Saccharomyces cerevisiae S288C: one gene and its partners. Changing the gene in region 1 together with any one later gene gives a genetic interaction. Each region holds a gene or a part of one and is shown on either strand. Other genes may lie near its edges. The genes, in order: SCW10, YPS3, SED1 and MRH1.

What was found.
Region 2: of SCW10 (region 1) and YPS3, changing one enhances a phenotype caused by changing the other (phenotypic enhancement), as found in Saccharomyces cerevisiae (one study listed by BioGRID).
Region 3: of SCW10 (region 1) and SED1, changing one enhances a phenotype caused by changing the other (phenotypic enhancement), as found in Saccharomyces cerevisiae (one study listed by BioGRID).
Region 4: mutations in SCW10 (region 1) and MRH1 together harm fitness less than expected from each alone (positive genetic interaction), as found in Saccharomyces cerevisiae (2 studies listed by BioGRID).

What each region holds. Positions count from the first base shown.
Region 1 is NC_001145.3:878,563-883,625, reverse strand, and holds SCW10 (putative family 17 glucosidase), read left to right. Parts: upstream 1-3,393; coding exon 3,394-4,563; downstream 4,564-5,063. Other genes in the region: FKS3 (putative 1,3-beta-D-glucan synthase), read right to left, coding at 1-2,467; ubiquitin-specific protease UBP15, read right to left, coding at 4,947-5,063. UniProt on the Saccharomyces cerevisiae protein: Glucanases possibly play a role in cell expansion during growth, in cell-cell fusion during mating, and in spore release during sporulation.
Region 2 is NC_001144.5:387,394-392,418, reverse strand, and holds YPS3 (aspartyl protease), read left to right. Parts: upstream 1-2,148; coding exon 2,149-3,675; downstream 3,676-5,025. Other genes in the region: YLR122C (uncharacterized protein), read left to right, coding at 1,088-1,465; YPS1 (aspartyl protease), read left to right, coding at 4,199-5,025. UniProt on the Saccharomyces cerevisiae protein: Cleaves proteins C-terminally to mono- and paired-basic residues. Required for cell wall integrity.
Region 3 is NC_001136.10:597,698-602,309, forward strand, and holds SED1 (Sed1p), read left to right. Parts: upstream 1-3,095; coding exon 3,096-4,112; downstream 4,113-4,612. Other genes in the region: phosphoprotein phosphatase PP4 catalytic subunit PPH3, read left to right, coding at 1-385; putative DNA-dependent ATPase RAD55, read left to right, coding at 771-1,991; SHU2 (Shu2p), read right to left, coding at 4,501-4,612. UniProt on the Saccharomyces cerevisiae protein: Component of the cell wall. Major cell wall protein in stationary phase cells. Required to stabilize the cell wall in the absence of multiple GPI-anchored mannoproteins.
Region 4 is NC_001136.10:506,042-510,601, forward strand, and holds MRH1 (Mrh1p), read left to right. Parts: upstream 1-2,105; coding exon 2,106-3,068; downstream 3,069-4,560. Other genes in the region: LYS14 (Lys14p), read right to left, coding at 3,696-4,560.

The DNA of each region.
Region 1 (5,063 bases):
GCAACTTCCGGGACTCAGTATGGTCAGAAAGCGGGCTAGACCTTGGATCGTACAGAGCATCCGGAATTTCCAATCTATCTTCATCATGACTGCTCTCTGCCTCTTTCAAAAAGCTCTTTTCCATGCTTAGTAGTTTGGTATCCTTAACAAAACATTCCCATTCTGTAGGGTGTAGATGCTTCAAATACTCAAGCACCGTGATTTTACTTTTAGGAGATTCTTCCCTGATAATTTCCTTCAAGCCCAACAGAATCTTTTCTGAATAATGGGGTACCAAAACGGTAAAAGTTGGCATACAATCCACTGGAACAGGTTCTGAAATGGGGGTCGCCAGGGATTGGGCAAAAAAGGATATCCTTCTTTTTGCCTCTGAATTTGATGGAAAAAATTCCATTGACTTGAACGTTGAATCATCTTGTGCAACGAAAAATGTAGGCGATTTCAGGGTTCTTGTGTCTCCCATTAAGGAGTCAACTTGCTGAAACAAGAGTCTTTGTAAATGTTCAATGGAGAGAAGATGTTCCCTATACATTGATATAACAATGGCATTCCAAACCTGCGATATCAGTATTTTTGCTTTAAATTTTACATCCATCTCTGAAGTAGCAAGGATTTTGGAATATATCCTTTTTGGCAATCGAGAGTATACATTCTTCCATGGCGTGAGAATTGAAGTACCAAGAGAAAATGACAGTACAATGGAAAAAATACAGTTGCAAATAATGTACCAAAGGTAAGTGTCGAGAAAAAACAGGCCCAAGTCAGAAAGCAGCATGAGAACTAATGTAATTTTGGCTTGCCATTTACATAGAATAGGACCCAACAAATATTCACCTTGACATCTGGACAAATCCATAATAGAGAGGACCCTGATGGGGTCCCTGAGGGACAAGGTCAAAAAAAAATAGGACTCAATATATTTCGCCAAATACACAAATACCCATAACCCATAAGAAAACCATTTGCTGCGTCCTGTCAGCTTAGGAAATGAAGCGGTAAAGGTTTGCGATGAGATGTACCTCCGATGTTTTTTGTCTTTATTCAAATATGGACGAAATAAGCCGCCCAAAGGTCTGACAGCAAAAAAAAAAGTGGTTAAAAATGCAATGATTAGTTGGACGATGGACACGATATACGCAGATTTTGAATGAACATCCCATTCGAAAAACCCCAGAACATACACGGAAGGTCCCAAATTGATTGCAAGACAAAAAAGTAAGCCAATCATTCTACTCGATAAATGCTGAGCGCCTGGCCATTCTCGAGGTACAAATCCCCACTCGAACACGGTGGCTAAAATTTGAACTAAACATGCAATTGTGCCTCCAAAGGCAATCACTGATAGTCTAACTTGGGGTGTAGGCTGGTTATTCAATAACTGTATATAATTCTTGGTGTACAAAGTGGGGGAATTAAATGTGGTGAAGAACCAAAACGGTGCAAAATGGATAATCCAGAATCTATTGAAATTGGTAAAACAATGCTTCCAACTTCTGGTTTCTCTATATGTCTTATAAAATACTTTAGACCATGCAACGTCTTTAAAGTAAAGATATCTCTCCTCCAATGGCTTGTCAACTAATCGTTCTCCATTGTTTAAAATAATACGTTCAAATCCTTCCGGGTACCAAAATAATTGATTGATGTCGTCGTAACCAATAATATTCTTGTGGTCTTTTTCTCTTCGTTTCCAGTTCCCCTTTGCGTCTTTTTTGTATACTTGGCCCCTTAGGAATTCGTATAAGGGAGTAATAACGTCATTTAAGTATGAATACTCAGGTGATTTCACCGTTTTTTCGCTACTTGACGTACTAATATCATAATCAAGTGCACATTTGAAAATAAAGCAAAGGCATTCTGGGGCGAATCTGACTTGATTGGCTTCACCCCAGCAAAGCAAATAAAGGGCCAGCTGTCTTATCATATTTTCGGGCGTCAATTTTTTCATTTTCAATTTCCATTTGTAGTCTGCACTTTTCAAGTTTGTCTGATCTTCCAATTGTTCTTGAGTCAGTGTGATCTTTGGATGGTTATTGATGAACTCTTGCTCCTTCTCATTCCATTGCTTAATTTGTTCCTTTATCGATACGCCTCTTTTCTTCGCCATTTTTACGTTTCTTTGGCGTGCCTTTCCATGTAGTCGCATGTTTTGAAACCCGATCTCTTCATCTAAATCGAGCTGAGCGGCAAAATACCATTTTCTATAATTTGCGTGTTCGCCTCCAATATATGAAACATGTAGCGATACTAAAGCATTTTGAGCACCTGTACGACTTGCCCTGGAGTCCAGCTGTCCCATTAAATGTTGATACATATTTTCCATAGAAGATTTCTGGAAGCCAAACTTATCCATGAGCTCCACAAAAATTTCTCTAATTTCCTGCATTGTTATTGGGACTTCATCGTCTTGGCACCAAGCAGGATACTCAACGTCAGTTAGCGAAAACTTGGGACTCATAAAATCCATATTCAACTCCTTAACTTTCCTTCTCAGTATGTTTTTCTTTTCCCAATATGCAGTTCCACAGCCCTTAATGATTAAGTTGTATAGTGGCAAATCCTAGAAGGCATAATTACTTTTGAAGGTTCTCGCCAAATAGCCGCTGACCATGTAAAACTCTTACCCGCATAATTTAACCATCATTGCCGCACTAGGCAAGATGGTCCGATCTTGATGGGCGAGAATGATTAGTTCAGAGACGTGCAACAGCCATATACGAAAGCTGTCTCGGCCTTCACTTATGCTGATACCAGGCACGGTAATAATTAAGAAAGAATGCCTCCCTCTTTCTTTTTCTCAGGCAAGACATCTAGATTTTCTTTTTATCTAAGCCCTCAATGACAAAAATATTTGTTCCTTACATATCCCCAGAGATCTTCGGTCTAGATTTCGCGAAAGACCGTTTGCAGTAATTTACCTTTTTCGGAAAAGTCCTCGAAGATTTCGGACGAAGTAAAACCTGAAGAGAAAAATGCCAAGACTTTTAATTGCGCGAAACAGCGGACAAAAAATTCGCGTTGAAACGTTTGAATATGGTAACAAACGTCGCACGCGTTTGAAAGTTATTCGTGTTTTCATGTGTACAGTAACTTCTCCATCGAGAGCCGTATCCATAAGCCTTCTTTTCCACGTTTGTTTCAAAACTGTAGTATTTATAATGGAGGGAAAGATGTCTGCGTGAAGTTTGTCTTACAGTGTATCTTTGAAGCGTGCATCATATTTTTCCCATTTTAAATTCATCTATTATATAGGCCCAAATAAAAGAGTTAAATACTATACTTTTGCAATATTGAGCTGAACATCCAACTGTCACGTCTCTCCTTTACTATTACTGTTCTTTTTTTCAAATTGTCAAAAGATAGTATTAACGCAAAAAAAGTCTTCATTCCATTATGCGTTTTTCAAATTTCCTAACTGTATCTGCATTATTAACCGGAGCTCTAGGAGCTCCTGCTGTTCGCCATAAACATGAAAAGCGTGACGTTGTTACTGCCACAGTCCATGCGCAGGTTACTGTTGTCGTTTCCGGTAACAGCGGCGAAACTATTGTTCCAGTGAACGAGAATGCTGTTGTAGCTACTACCAGCAGTACTGCAGTTGCTTCTCAAGCAACTACATCCACTTTAGAACCAACAACTTCCGCTAATGTCGTCACTTCTCAACAACAAACCAGCACTCTTCAATCTTCCGAGGCAGCATCTACGGTTGGTTCTTCGACTTCATCCTCACCCTCATCCTCATCCTCAACTTCATCTTCAGCTTCATCCTCCGCTTCATCTAGTATCTCAGCCTCCGGTGCTAAGGGTATTACTTACAGTCCTTACAATGATGATGGGTCCTGTAAATCTACTGCTCAAGTCGCCTCAGATTTAGAACAGTTGACTGGTTTTGACAACATCAGATTATATGGCGTTGACTGTAGTCAGGTTGAGAATGTCTTGCAAGCTAAAACTTCAAGCCAGAAATTATTCTTAGGCATATATTACGTTGACAAAATTCAAGACGCCGTTGATACTATTAAATCTGCAGTTGAGTCTTATGGCTCCTGGGATGATATTACCACTGTTTCTGTCGGTAACGAACTGGTCAATGGCGGTTCTGCCACTACGACGCAAGTCGGTGAATACGTTTCCACGGCCAAGTCAGCTTTAACCTCTGCTGGTTATACAGGCTCAGTCGTTTCCGTTGATACCTTCATTGCTGTTATAAATAACCCTGACCTGTGTAATTATTCTGACTATATGGCTGTCAACGCCCATGCATACTTCGATGAAAATACTGCGGCCCAAGATGCAGGACCATGGGTACTAGAACAAATCGAAAGGGTTTACACTGCTTGTGGTGGGAAAAAGGACGTCGTTATTACCGAAACTGGTTGGCCATCTAAGGGTGATACTTACGGCGAAGCTGTCCCATCTAAAGCAAACCAAGAAGCCGCCATTTCTTCTATCAAAAGCTCCTGCGGCTCTTCAGCTTACTTATTTACCGCCTTCAATGATCTATGGAAAGATGATGGGCAATACGGTGTTGAAAAATACTGGGGTATTCTATCAAGTGATTAAACCACTGAAACTTCATTTACTTTATGATCATTCTTTTTCCCTTTTTCTTAAAAAGCAGCCAAATATGGGGGAAATAAGCCCTTTCCCATATTTGCTCTCCTATTCTTATCACGTTATTGTTTACTTATGTGTTTTGTGTAAAGTATATATTCTATACTCATTTGTGAAAGATTTTTCAATTTGTCTTCCTTTTAGCTACGGGTCCTCGCTGCTCTATAGTTTGTGTTCTAACTTATATATATATATATATGCGGCATTACCTAAAAGCAAAATAAAACTGTAGAGCATTGCCTGTGTGGAAGTGATGGCGGCTGAGAGATTATCATAAAAAAACATAAAAAAAATGGAGAAAACATCAAAGCTAAACATAGTCGTAAGACGTATCAGTTTTTAATGATCATTGGTCTATCATAGGAAGAATGCGATCTCAATCTATCCGGATGATCCATGTAGATATAATCTAAGTTGGACATAATGTCATACAATATAACTTTGTCCAA
Region 2 (5,025 bases), on another chromosome or scaffold:
ACAAATATCCAGAAGAAAACTGCTGTTGCCAAAAAAGTTTTGTTTGAAAAAAATAACACCACAATTTTGCTTCTTCGATGGCAAACTGATCAGAATCAAGAGACAAAGCTGCTGTGGTGGTGTTTTGTTAAACGTGTCTGTGAATGACTTCTTTCCGCTTGCGCACATTTTTCTACTGGCTCTCCTCACTAAATGTTAAGATTTCTGATATATGTGGACCACATTTCACCATTGTTGAAATGGACGGTATGATATGATTCGAATAAGACCTGGAATATGCACTCTAGCATACCAGGAGCTCTGGACATTGTATTCTTCTCATCTATTGTAAAACATCTCTCAATAGTAACGTATGAGTAATGATTCGGAATGGCATCTAGATTAGCAAATACTTGCTTGCTTGTTGAGGATAACCGTAAACTCGTCTGTTCTTAGTGCAAAAACCGTCCCAAAAGTAACAGACGGTAACTCATTCTACATTAACATTGGATGATATGTTGACAATAAATTCCGAGGGACAGCTCCGTTTCCTAGTGAATCTCGGTGGTTGTAATGAGGGTAAATCGCTGAGCATTTTTTTTTCTTCTCTTTACTACACCATTTAGAGTTCTCACTTTGTAAAATTCCGTCCTGATATGAGAATATATATCTCCACGAAGCAATACCAAGCACAAGAAAAACATAGCAATTTTTGCAAGGCCCGGTAACGCAAGATGTGATAACACGCTGCATCATTTTAATTAAGAGCGCGCCACTTCTCCAGATAGTGCTGTATTCATATATGTAAGTGCTCACACTTTCTGGGAACAGCGGAGTCATTAGAAGACTGGCTTCGCTGAAGTTGCTAGAACGAGCAAATTACAACATTATATTCAGCTTCAAGAAAAAACGCAGACAATGGACTCAGGATGATGAGAGGTTCCTTTGTACCACTAAGATCGACTCGTCCTAACCCTATATCCCAATCCCAAGACTAGGCGAACCAACATTAACTGGGCTCGTAATAGGGCAATGATAATGCAAAAGCGGCTCCTAAACAGAAATTCTTCAGTAGTCAAATCTCGAAATTGCCTTGCTCGTCATCAACATGAATCGTCTATATCAAAACTGCATGTTTCTCTACGTCTACACAGATGTTTGCGTCCGATTGTGCGCTTCGATTTTTTACATAATGCTGGAAGCAAAGTTTGCTCTCAGAATTCCTGCCCTTCGCCCCAGTTACACGTGGGGACAATGGCGCTCTTTCATACAGTCTTCATTCTATGGCCGCACTTTTGTGGCATTCTCTGGACCGTCCATGAAAAATTATATAACTATTTGCTTTCTATTGAAGTCTATTGAAGTTAGCGTGGATAGAACGGCGTTACATGGCACATCAGCTGAAGCTAGCGCAAGTAATTTTCAACGCATTCAAACGAAAAACTTATCTAAATACAATTGTAACATACCGGCTTGCTGTGTGTGAACCCCTTTCCCCAATTGTATATCAGAAACGTCTGAGTGGAGGGTGAGGAATCACTCACTACCTTTTCTCCATTCGACGCCTATAAGCAGCGTATTTTAAAGGAAAGGGGAATTAGTGCGGAGATGGGCCAGAAATGTACTCTTTTTTTGGCAGAGTTTTTCCGGGCGGGACAAAACAATGGCGTGGGGTGATGAAATAAGCAAAATTCAATATCCCTTATGACGGAATGGCAGAATTGGCCACCATTTTGTCTTGGCATTCAATATACATACAAATCTTCACTACCGCGATATTGTTGGTAATGGAGATTGCTTTTTGGCCTCCTGGCTTATAGGGCTCTGAGTCTCGTGGTAGTGGAATCCGGCACAGAAACGAGAATCGGATATTTGGGGCCGGGCCATGTACAGGCAAAAGAAATAGCGAAAATATCTCTTATTTTTTTCGCGCTTCCTTTGTAGTAGAAATTATTGGCGATCGGATTACTATTCGCGGAAAAGAAATTAAAAATAGCGAAGAACTTAGAACTATAAGCCTCAAAAGGAAACTTGTGTGGTCGAAGGCTGGACGCCATAATAATATATATATGTACGTATATATATTATATATGAATATCTGTAGCCGCTAACTTGTGTGTTTGTGAATTTATATAGGATAAATAGAGCAAAATTACTCGGCATTGAAAAATGAAACTTCAATTGGCGGCAGTGGCTACATTAGCAGTCTTAACTAGTCCGGCATTCGGTAGAGTACTTCCCGATGGGAAATACGTCAAGATTCCCTTCACAAAAAAAAAGAACGGCGACAATGGTGAACTCAGCAAGAGATCGAACGGCCATGAAAAATTTGTACTAGCTAACGAGCAAAGCTTTTATTCTGTTGAGCTAGCCATTGGTACACCTTCACAAAACCTCACTGTGCTGTTAGACACAGGCTCAGCTGACTTATGGGTTCCTGGCAAGGGAAACCCCTACTGCGGTTCTGTGATGGACTGTGACCAGTATGGCGTGTTCGACAAGACCAAGTCGTCCACGTTCAAAGCCAACAAGTCCTCGCCTTTTTATGCCGCTTACGGTGACGGAACCTATGCAGAAGGTGCATTTGGTCAAGATAAATTAAAGTACAACGAATTAGACCTCAGTGGTCTATCGTTTGCCGTGGCCAACGAATCTAACTCAACCTTTGGTGTGCTCGGGATCGGCCTTTCCACGCTTGAAGTCACCTATTCTGGAAAAGTCGCTATTATGGACAAGAGAAGCTACGAGTATGATAACTTTCCCCTGTTCCTAAAACATTCTGGAGCCATCGATGCAACCGCATACTCTCTTTTCCTAAATGACGAGTCACAGTCCTCCGGCAGCATCCTCTTCGGCGCTGTAGATCACAGCAAGTACGAGGGCCAACTGTACACTATCCCGTTGGTTAATCTTTATAAGTCGCAGGGTTATCAGCACCCGGTGGCGTTCGATGTCACTTTACAGGGCTTAGGACTGCAAACCGACAAGCGCAACATCACATTGACCACCACCAAGCTCCCAGCCCTACTCGATTCAGGCACAACGCTAACATATCTGCCCTCCCAGGCAGTGGCTTTGCTAGCAAAGAGCTTGAATGCCTCGTATTCCAAGACATTGGGTTATTATGAGTACACGTGTCCCTCGAGCGACAACAAAACCAGCGTGGCCTTCGACTTCGGTGGCTTCCGTATCAACGCTCCTCTATCCGACTTTACTATGCAGACCAGTGTGGGGACCTGTGTCTTGGCAATAATTCCACAAGCGGGCAACGCCACCGCTATCCTTGGTGATTCCTTCTTGAGAAACGCCTACGTGGTCTACGATTTGGATAACTACGAGATTTCCCTAGCTCAAGCCAAGTATGGCACGGGGAAAGAGAACGTCGAAGTCATCAAATCTACCGTTCCCAGTGCAATAAGGGCCCCCAGTTACAACAACACTTGGTCTAACTACGCCTCCGCCACGTCCGGTGGTAATATTTTTACCACCGTGCGCACTTTCAATGGCACCAGTACTGCCACCACTACGAGGTCAACCACCACCAAGAAGACAAACTCTACCACTACTGCAAAGTCGACTCATAAAAGCAAGAGGGCACTCCAGAGGGCTGCTACCAACTCCGCTTCCAGTATACGCTCTACCTTGGGTTTACTGCTAGTCCCCTCCTTACTCATCCTTTCCGTTTTCTTTTCGTAAAAAAAAACAATAGACACTATATATAGACACTTTTTCCTTTCCTTCTTTGCGCGATTTCAAGAGGAAAAGCATACTTAAATAAGAATATTCCTAAAACACACGTTCTGACGCGTCAATTAGATCGTCAGACCTTGCATGCAGCCAAGACACCCTCACATAGCACTGCCTCCTTCCTCCTCTTTTCTGTCACCACCTCACCTCCCTCGTCCACTCAACTGAGTGGCTTTTCGCTCCTTTTATACTGCGCCATGAGTAGTTTTCGTTTCACTGATGTGTCCGAAAAAATTGAGGTTTCATAAAAAAATTCGTGGACTTATTTATGGAGAAACAGGGAAATCCGACTACTTAAGAAAAGGGTGTCAAAGAGGATTTACTTTTTTCCTTCTTTTTGCATTTGTTCCTATTTCCGCAATTGGACGGTTATTAAGAAGAACGCAATTGGCTTTTCTGTATATTAAAATACATAGCGTAATAAAAAGATAAGGTGAACACCAAGCATATAGTATAATATTACCTACCACATATGAAACTGAAAACTGTAAGATCTGCGGTCCTTTCGTCACTCTTTGCATCGCAGGTTCTCGGTAAGATAATACCAGCAGCAAACAAGCGCGACGACGACTCGAATTCCAAGTTCGTCAAGTTGCCCTTTCATAAGCTTTACGGGGACTCGCTAGAAAATGTGGGAAGCGACAAAAAACCGGAAGTACGCCTATTGAAGAGGGCTGACGGTTATGAAGAAATTATAATTACCAACCAGCAAAGTTTCTATTCGGTGGACTTGGAAGTGGGCACGCCACCACAGAACGTAACGGTCCTGGTGGACACAGGCTCCTCTGATCTATGGATTATGGGCTCGGATAATCCATACTGTTCTTCGAACAGTATGGGTAGTAGCCGGAGACGTGTTATTGACAAACGTGATGATTCGTCAAGCGGCGGATCTTTGATTAATGATATAAACCCATTTGGCTGGTTGACGGGAACGGGCAGTGCCATTGGCCCCACTGCTACGGGCTTAGGAGGCGGTTCAGGTACGGCAACTCAATCCGTGCCTGCTTCGGAAGCCACCATGGACTGTCAACAATACGGGACATTTTCCACTTCGGGCTCTTCTACATTTAGATCAAACAACACCTATTTCAGTATTAGCTACGGTGATGGGACTTTTGCCTCCGGTACTTTTGGTACGGATGTTTTGGATTTAAGCGACTTGAACGTTACCGGGTTGTCTTTTGCCGTTGCCAATGAAACGAATTCTACTATGGGTGTGTTAGGTATTGGTTTGCCCGAATTAGAAGTCACTTATTCTGGCTCTACTGCGTCTCATAGTGGAAAAGCTTATAAATA
Region 3 (4,612 bases), on another chromosome or scaffold:
AGAAGTTCCACATGAAGGTGCTATGTGTGACTTATTATGGAGCGACCCCGAAGACGTTGACACATGGTCATTATCACCAAGAGGTGCTGGATTTCTTTTCGGTAAAAGAGAAGTTGATCAATTCTTAGAGAAAAACAACGTTGAGTTAATTGCTAGAGCTCATCAGTTAGTGATGGAAGGTTACAAAGAAATGTTCGACGGTGGATTAGTGACAGTCTGGTCGGCACCGAATTACTGTTATCGTTGTGGTAATGTAGCAGCTGTATTGAAGATAGACGACGATTTGAATCGTGAATATACAATTTTTGAAGCTGTTCAGGCACAAAATGAAGTCGGAAATGCTATAATTCCAACCAAAAAATCTCAAATGGACTATTTCTTATAAATTTTTAACAGGCACTCTAATTGTCAAGTGCATTTTTCTTTTTTTCTTCATAATGCAATAAAGGAAAAAAAATTGTAATATTACATACTTCTTTTCACATCTTAGCTAATTAACAATATGGCTTTTGAATACTAATATATACCCAGCTACCGTTTCTTCTTTTATTTTTTATTCCTTTTTTTCTTCAGTAGAATATGTTATAGATGCGGAGGTCCCCTAAGTTCTTCACGTGTTCTCTTCTCATCGCGTTTGATATGAAAAATAGAAAAAAATACATAGTAGCATGACTAACTAATAATAAGCTCCGCTATCAAAGATGTCAAGTACATTAAGGAAAGCTTTTAGATAAGGAAAAGAACTTATTAATAATATATAATATGAAAATATGTCGCTTGGTATACCACTTTCCCAATTAATAGTAGAAAGTCCAAAGCCATTAAGTAGCGGCATCACAGGATTAGATGAGATATTAAACCTGGGATTCCAGGCAAGGTCGATCTACGAAATATTTGGGCCTCCGGGCATTGGCAAGACTAATTTTGGCATTCAATTGGTGTGTAATTCGTTAGAAGGCATACAACAATCGGAAATAAACGACGATAAAATTCTATGGATAGAAACATTTCAAGAAATGCCCATAAACATACTAAGAGAACGCTTTCAAAAATTTAAAATCGTGGAAGAAAATGTGAAGCGGGTCCGAATAACGAAATTTGGACAGCTATTATATTTCTTCCAGAATTTGTTCAAATTATCTCAAAGTGTGCGATATAAACTAGTTATAATTGATGGATTTTCTCAATTAGTCTGCGATCATCTGTGTACACTAAGTAAAAGAGGCGGCGGAATGATAGATAAAACTATACACGAGTTAAAATGTCGACATTTGATATTAATTTTTACGGTAATGACCAAATACACACATTCCACGGGTTCGACAATAATAGTTTTAAATGACTGTATGAACACCGCCTTCCAATCAAACGAATTCGAATCCTTGGAAGAATACTACGAAATTTTAGACGACGGATCTAACTTCTTTGTCAACTCTAACAACGAAAGGCGTAAGAACAATGTACATATATTGAAAAGCGCGCTCGTTGCCAATATCGCTATGGGAAGCAAGGATTCCACTTGGGAAGTATTTCTAAGAGACAGGATCGGCCTTTTTAGGGATTGGAATGAACAAGTGGACGAAACCGTTTTCGTGAAAAGCAAAAGAGTGAAGGCGTCATCCTCGCAGAGTAACGAGGGATGTACTACCATCAAAGAAATGAGAATAAACAAACGAAACTTTGAAAACTTGAGAATAGCTATTGTTTTTAATTTACACGGCGAAGATAGAAAAAGAGAAGGACGAAATTTAAAGCGGTCAAGAAGCAGCGACGATCGTAACTATATTGTCAAATTTGATTTTGATAAAGCAACAGGTCAACTCCGCGATATAATTGATCTGAAACCTGATACTGCTAATATTGCCTCATTTCCAACATTATCAACAAGCAGCAGCAGTTGCTCACAAGTGTTTAACAATATTGACTCCAATGATAATCCATTACCAAATGCGGAGGGAAAGGAGGAGATAATTTATGATAGTGAAGGTTAATAGTAAAATAAAAAAACCGAAAACCGAAAACAATAAAAAATGGAAAAACGACAACATTCCACCCAACAACTACAAAGAAAAGTTAAGGGTAATTTTACCTATTTAGGATTTTAATCTGTTGGAGTTAAGGTGAATACGTTTTTCCATATTGGGGTATGCAGCTCGAACCTAAAGTGGTATGTACACATCCCCTCAAGCACACCCATTACCCTTATAGGATTAATGTAAGCAACAGCTTACACGGAATTGGAAATACTATTCAACGATCCATGCATCTGCCAGATTCGGACATGCATATTCCCCAATTGGATATAGAAAATTAACGTAAGGCAGTATCTTTTCACAATGTACTTGCAACGCGGCGACTTAAAGTTGAAGTACAACCTGCAGCAGCGGCTTTTTGTACGGTACGCCAAACTGTCAATGGATAATATTGCGTAGACCGAAAAAGGTAATCCTCAACACTACCCGTGGTGGATGACCTAAAGCAGTAATATTGGTTGGAATTATCTCCCAGACGGCACCGTCTCCCCGAGAAAGCTTAGCCCCGAGGTCTACCTTCCATACACCACTGATTGCTCCACGTCATGCGGCCTTCTTTCGAGGACAAAAAGGCATATATCGCTAAAATTAGCCATCAGAACCGTTATTGTTATTATATTTTCATTACGAAAGAGGAGAGGGCCCAGCGCGCCAGAGCACACACGGTCATTGATTACTTTATTTGGCTAAAGATCCATCCCTTCTCGATGTCATCTCTTTCCATTCTTGTGTATTTTTGATTGAAAATGATTTTTTGTCCACTAATTTCTAAAAATAAGACAAAAAGCCTTTAAGCAGTTTTTCATCCATTTTACTACGGTAAAATGAATTAGTACGGTATGGCTCCCAGTCGCATTATTTTTAGATTGGCCGTAGGGGCTGGGGTAGAACTAGAGTAAGGAACATTGCTCTGCCCTCTTTTGAACTGTCATATAAATACCTGACCTATTTTATTCTCCATTATCGTATTATCTCACCTCTCTTTTTCTATTCTCTTGTAATTATTGATTTATAGTCGTAACTACAAAGACAAGCAAAATAAAATACGTTCGCTCTATTAAGATGAAATTATCAACTGTCCTATTATCTGCCGGTTTAGCCTCGACTACTTTGGCCCAATTTTCCAACAGTACATCTGCTTCTTCCACCGATGTCACTTCCTCCTCTTCCATCTCCACTTCCTCTGGCTCAGTAACTATCACATCTTCTGAAGCTCCAGAATCCGACAACGGTACCAGCACAGCTGCACCAACTGAAACCTCAACAGAGGCTCCAACCACTGCTATCCCAACTAACGGTACCTCTACTGAAGCTCCAACCACTGCTATCCCAACTAACGGTACCTCTACTGAAGCTCCAACTGATACTACTACTGAAGCTCCAACCACCGCTCTTCCAACTAACGGTACTTCTACTGAAGCTCCAACTGATACTACTACTGAAGCTCCAACCACCGGTCTTCCAACCAACGGTACCACTTCAGCTTTCCCACCAACTACATCTTTGCCACCAAGCAACACTACCACCACTCCTCCTTACAACCCATCTACTGACTACACCACTGACTACACTGTAGTCACTGAATATACTACTTACTGTCCAGAACCAACCACTTTCACCACAAACGGTAAGACTTACACCGTCACTGAACCAACCACATTGACTATCACTGACTGTCCATGCACCATTGAAAAGCCAACAACCACATCAACCACCGAATACACTGTAGTCACTGAGTACACTACTTACTGTCCAGAACCAACCACTTTCACCACAAACGGTAAGACTTACACCGTCACTGAACCAACCACTTTGACTATCACTGACTGTCCATGTACTATTGAAAAGAGCGAAGCCCCTGAGTCTTCTGTCCCAGTTACCGAATCTAAGGGCACTACCACCAAAGAAACAGGTGTTACTACCAAACAAACCACAGCCAACCCAAGTCTAACCGTCTCCACAGTCGTCCCAGTTTCATCCTCTGCTTCTTCTCATTCCGTTGTCATCAACAGTAACGGTGCTAACGTCGTCGTTCCAGGTGCTTTAGGTTTGGCTGGTGTTGCTATGTTATTCTTATAAACGGTGGTGTTTGACACATCCGCCTTCTTAATGCTTTCTTTCAGTATTATGTTATTTTTTTGTTATTCGTTTTTCACTTCTAGGCTTTTTGACAGACTAGCCCCGTTATACCACCATCTTTGTGGGAAAGCCCCTAAATTGCCCTGAGCAGTATCGTTTCATGTCTAGTCTCTTTAAAGATGTTTCTTACGCGTTGCGTGTAAAACATCCTCTCATTCAAGACAGGGTTTTCTAAAAGCAATAGGGGTAGTTTAATAATTCTTATATAATCATCATATACACTATTTTTAGTTCTTAATTCTTTAATACAAACTTATTAATGTGCTCTCCATTGATCTCTTAATCAGGAGGCGATATATACCGGAAGCGGTGTACTTTTCTTCACCTCTTACTCAACTATGTTGATGTGCAAGTTTAACCACTCGTCGATATTATCTATTGCTATAACGAAAACTTTATTCGAGTTCACAGTGAAAAACTTCAGCACATTTATGGAAGAT
Region 4 (4,560 bases), on another chromosome or scaffold:
TATCTATTTTTTTGCATTTAGGCTCCGTATAGAGTAAGCGAAGAAAACCGCCTGATTCAAGTGATTCTGCTTTTTTGGTTTACTTTCCACGCAGATTGGCTGCTCTGTTTGTTTATTTGTTTTGGGAACGCGGTATTACCTCTCATTTCTCTGAGCGACTTTTCAACTTGGCGCGCCGACATTTGCGCTTTTTTTTACAAGTTGTCAAACTCTCGGATTATTTAAAAAAAAGGGTTTTTTGCTCTTCTTGTTCCCATCTACGGGTTTCACGGAAAAACTACCCCGAAAAAGAAGCACAGCTTTATAAAAAGACCGTATTAATTTGCTTTATTGGGTAATAACGGGGCATTCGGGACATACAATCATACGCTAGATGCTGCGTGTAATAATTAACATTGTAAATCCCTATCTTTTTTTTTTATATAAGTAGAGTACTTTAAAAAGAGTGGACGACTGAGTTCATATACAAGCAGACGCCCTTTCATTTAATCTCAATCTTGTTTCAGGCCGGCTTTTGTCCATAACTGCTACGCTGCGTAAAAAAAAAATAAGAGAAATTGAAAAATATGGGCGTCGTCTAAGGATGGTAACTAGCTTCATTATACTATGGGTCTTCCTTCTTTTCCAACGCTTCCACTTTGACCTCAATCTCTTCTCGATGGCCTAAGGTAGCAAGGTTGTGTTAAAAAAAACAAATACATCAGAGCAAGACACTTTTGGGTTTATTAGGTATTATAGGTATAGGTCAATTAATTTCTTATCTTTTGTTGAGAGGATAAGGGTAATATTAGCGACCCTTAAGTAATTTTTGTTCTGTTTTACTTCAGTTTAATAAAAGCGACTGCCGCCGACCTTACTCCCTTTTTTTTATTATGCTCCTCGAGACAAGGTCGCTTAAAAAAAAAAAAAAGCTTAGTCAGACATGCAATCAGCGCAATTTATGGAAGCTGGAAAGGGGGGCCGCATTTTATGCACTATCTCTTGAATTCAAAAAGTAATTCAGGCCAAATTAACTAAGGATGCAAATGAAGCGAGTACTGAACGAATAGTCATGTTCTGAATTTCAAGCATTCAAATTTTGCTTTTCAGCGCTGTTCATCTTAGCGCTTACCATAAAGAGGAATACGTAATTCAACAACGGAGTTGAAAAATTTTTAAAATCGTGCCGGTGTTAGTGAGAAGAGGATGGAGGGAATTAATACTTCGATGGAAGATGCAACTTGCAAATGTAGTCCGGTTACCAAGAGACCCAAACCTCTTCCACTTTACTATTTCTCCTTTGAGAAATATATCAGTTTGCGGTAATAGGTAATATGAAAAAGGCAATAAAAAAAAGAGATACTTGTCACCATCTCGTCTCCCTTTACCTTTTTTACTTAATCTTCTTCGTCGTCATCTGTTCCATCCCTTTCCTAGCTTAGTCTTCTCCGGCTAGTTCTTAGTGCGGTGAGCAAAAAAAATAGCGTTTTTTTTCCCTCACCAGGACTTTTTTTGTTAACCGAAAATCGGCATCTCTAGTTTTCCTGGACAAAAAAGGCAAAATGGAAATAAACACTCATACGAATCAGTAAAGATGTAAATAATCGCAGTAACGACTGCACAAGGATGTCAGAAAAAGCAGTTTAATTCCAGAAGTGGTTTTCCAATTTATCACACATGTACATGAAGGGAAATGTATAAATACGGTCTTCGTAAAACAAAGGATCTCTTCACCTGGTTTCTTCATTTATAAGTAGTGTCTTTTTCGGTAACTTAAGATATATCCTTATTTCTTTCCCACTTCTCGTTATTTCTTCTTTTTCCCTTTTCAAGTTCTTCTTTTTATTTATTATTAAGCTTATTTTAATTCTTAGATCGTTGTCACTATCTTTTGTCCTTATTGTTAAGAAACATTGCGAAGAAAAAGAATAATAAAAGAAACTCAGAAAAAAAAAAAGTTTCCTCGAACAAAAATATTATTATTTCAATAACTTTTTCTTTCTCTACATCCAATTTTTTGACCCTATTTTAACATTAATTTTTTGCTTTAATTTTAACTAATACCTAATTTCACTTAATATCTAATCATCTTCCTTTAACCCACAGAACAAAGAAGAAAAATAACAATGTCTACCTTTGAAACTTTAATTAAAAGAGGTGGTAACGAAGCCATCAAAATTAACCCTCCAACCGGTGCGGATTTCCACATCACTAGTCGTGGTTCCGATTGGTTCTGGACATGTTTCTGTTGTTACCTATTATTTGGTTTAATTTTAACATTCTTAATGTTCAGAAAACCAGTCAATGACAGATTCTTTTACCTTACCGGTATTGCTCCAAACTTTTTCATGTGTATCGCTTATTTCACCATGGCTTCTAACTTAGGTTGGATTCCAGTCAAGGCTAAGTACAACCATGTCCAAACTTCTACTCAAAAAGAACATCCAGGTTACAGACAAATCTTCTACTCTAGATTCGTTGGTTGGTTCTTAGCTTTGCCATGGCCAATTATTCAAATCTGTATGCTAGCTGGTACCCCATTCTGGCAAATGGCTTTCAATGTTTGTATTACTGAATTCTTCACTGTTTGTTGGTTGATCGCTGCCTGTGTTCACTCCACTTACAAATGGGGTTACTACACCATCGGTCTAGGTGCTGCTATTGTCGTTAGTATCAGTGTTATGACCACCAGTTACAACTTGGTGAAACAAAGAGATAACGATATCAGGTTGACATTCCTTGTTTTCTTCAGCATTATTATGTTCTTGTGGATTATTGCTTACCCAACTTGTTTCGGTATTACCGATGGTGGTAACGTTTTGCAGCCAGACTCTGCCGGTATTTTCTATGGTATCATTGATCTTATTTTGATGTGTTTCATTCCAACTTTATTGGTTCCAATTGCTAACCACTTCGGTGCTGACAAATTGGGCTACCATTTCGGACCTAGTGATGCCGAAGCAGTGATGGCTCCAAAAGCTCCAGTTGCTAGTCCAAGACCTGCTGCTACACCAAACTTGAGTAAGGACAAGAAAAAGAAGTCTAAGAAGAGCAAGAAATCTAAGAAGTCTAAGAAGTCTGAAGAATAAGCCAATCGTCATGTCAATTATGTGCTACTTTCTTCTTTCTTTCAATCATCTTTGAAGAATTTTCTACTTCAAGCCAATCCTATAAATGGATAAAACTGTCTTTATTGATTATTTGACAAGATTATTTTACTCCATCTTCAACTTTTATCATATTTTATTTTATTTTCCTGACGTTTCAATATTTTCGTTCGTTAAATTATCACCATTTCTTGTCGAATTTTTATTTTCTATCATAAAGTGCAATTCTAGACTCATTTTTTAATTTAATGGATCCATTTAATCCATTTCGTCAAGCAAGTATGTTTTCATAACAATATTTTGCTCAGTGCATTTTGATCAAGAAACGTATAGTTGATGATTAGAAACGAGCTTTTTTATGCCCATCGTCATCTATATATATATTTGTATCACTTTAATAGTTATTTTAATATTTGATAACAACCTTTCTAATAGTATTGTTATGGAAGGTTTAGTGCTGGAGGAAAAAAAAGAAAGATAAAGGCACGGTGCCTGCTTTGCGCGGCATTCTCGAGAAAAATAGTTCTCGGACTTTTGACGTGCCAGTGCAATTATCCGTACACAATTTTATATCAATCTACAGGCAAAATTATTACGTAAACAGACAAACTACCATGTTAAAACGTCTTGTTCTTCTAACCTGTAATTTTGATTTTTACCATACCAGACCTTTTCCAGTCTGTTAAGATTATGTTCTGTGAGCTTTTGAAATTTTCCACCATTGATTTTATAATATCTTTTAACAATCGCTCTTGTTTCCTCGTCCATTGCATTCAAACCTGCAATCAATACAGCAAAATTACTATAACAAGTCCTTGAATTTTGTGGCGGCGAGTCACTGTCTAAGAATTTGAAGAAAGACATGATTTTCTTGACCACTTGTTGAATGGTACTTGACTCTTTTGGCATACCTAAAAGTTTTAATAATACAATTAATAAGAAAGATAAAACTTGTGTCTGATGAGAAATATCATACCAGCTGATGGCAACTTCTTCACCGTTCTTTAATGTCACCATATCGATGGCATTATCATGAATATTACTAATTCTAGGGTGTGACTGATTGTCTGAGGGTATAATTCCAGATTTGTCAATAAATTCGTAATCTAATTGCTTGTCAATTTCCACTAGAATTTTCTGCGTATTGAAATATGATATCTGGTCTTTGGACTTTTCGGACGAAGTTTGGGATGATAAAAGCAGATAGTCTAATTTCTTAGTGAACAAACCTTCTTCTTTAGAAAAGTAATTTTTTTCAGTTGACCTAATTGTATTGAGTGATTTGAAAACTTCTTTAATAACAAGATCGAAATCTTCTTTATGTCCTCTTAAAAGATTAAACTCATTTAGTGGAGTCATAATATTTAAAAATTTTAACGAGTCAACATATTGGTAATCATATGGATCAAAAATTGCATCAAGGTCATTATTATCAATTAAAGATCCGCCAAATACCGTACTTATACTGGCGAAT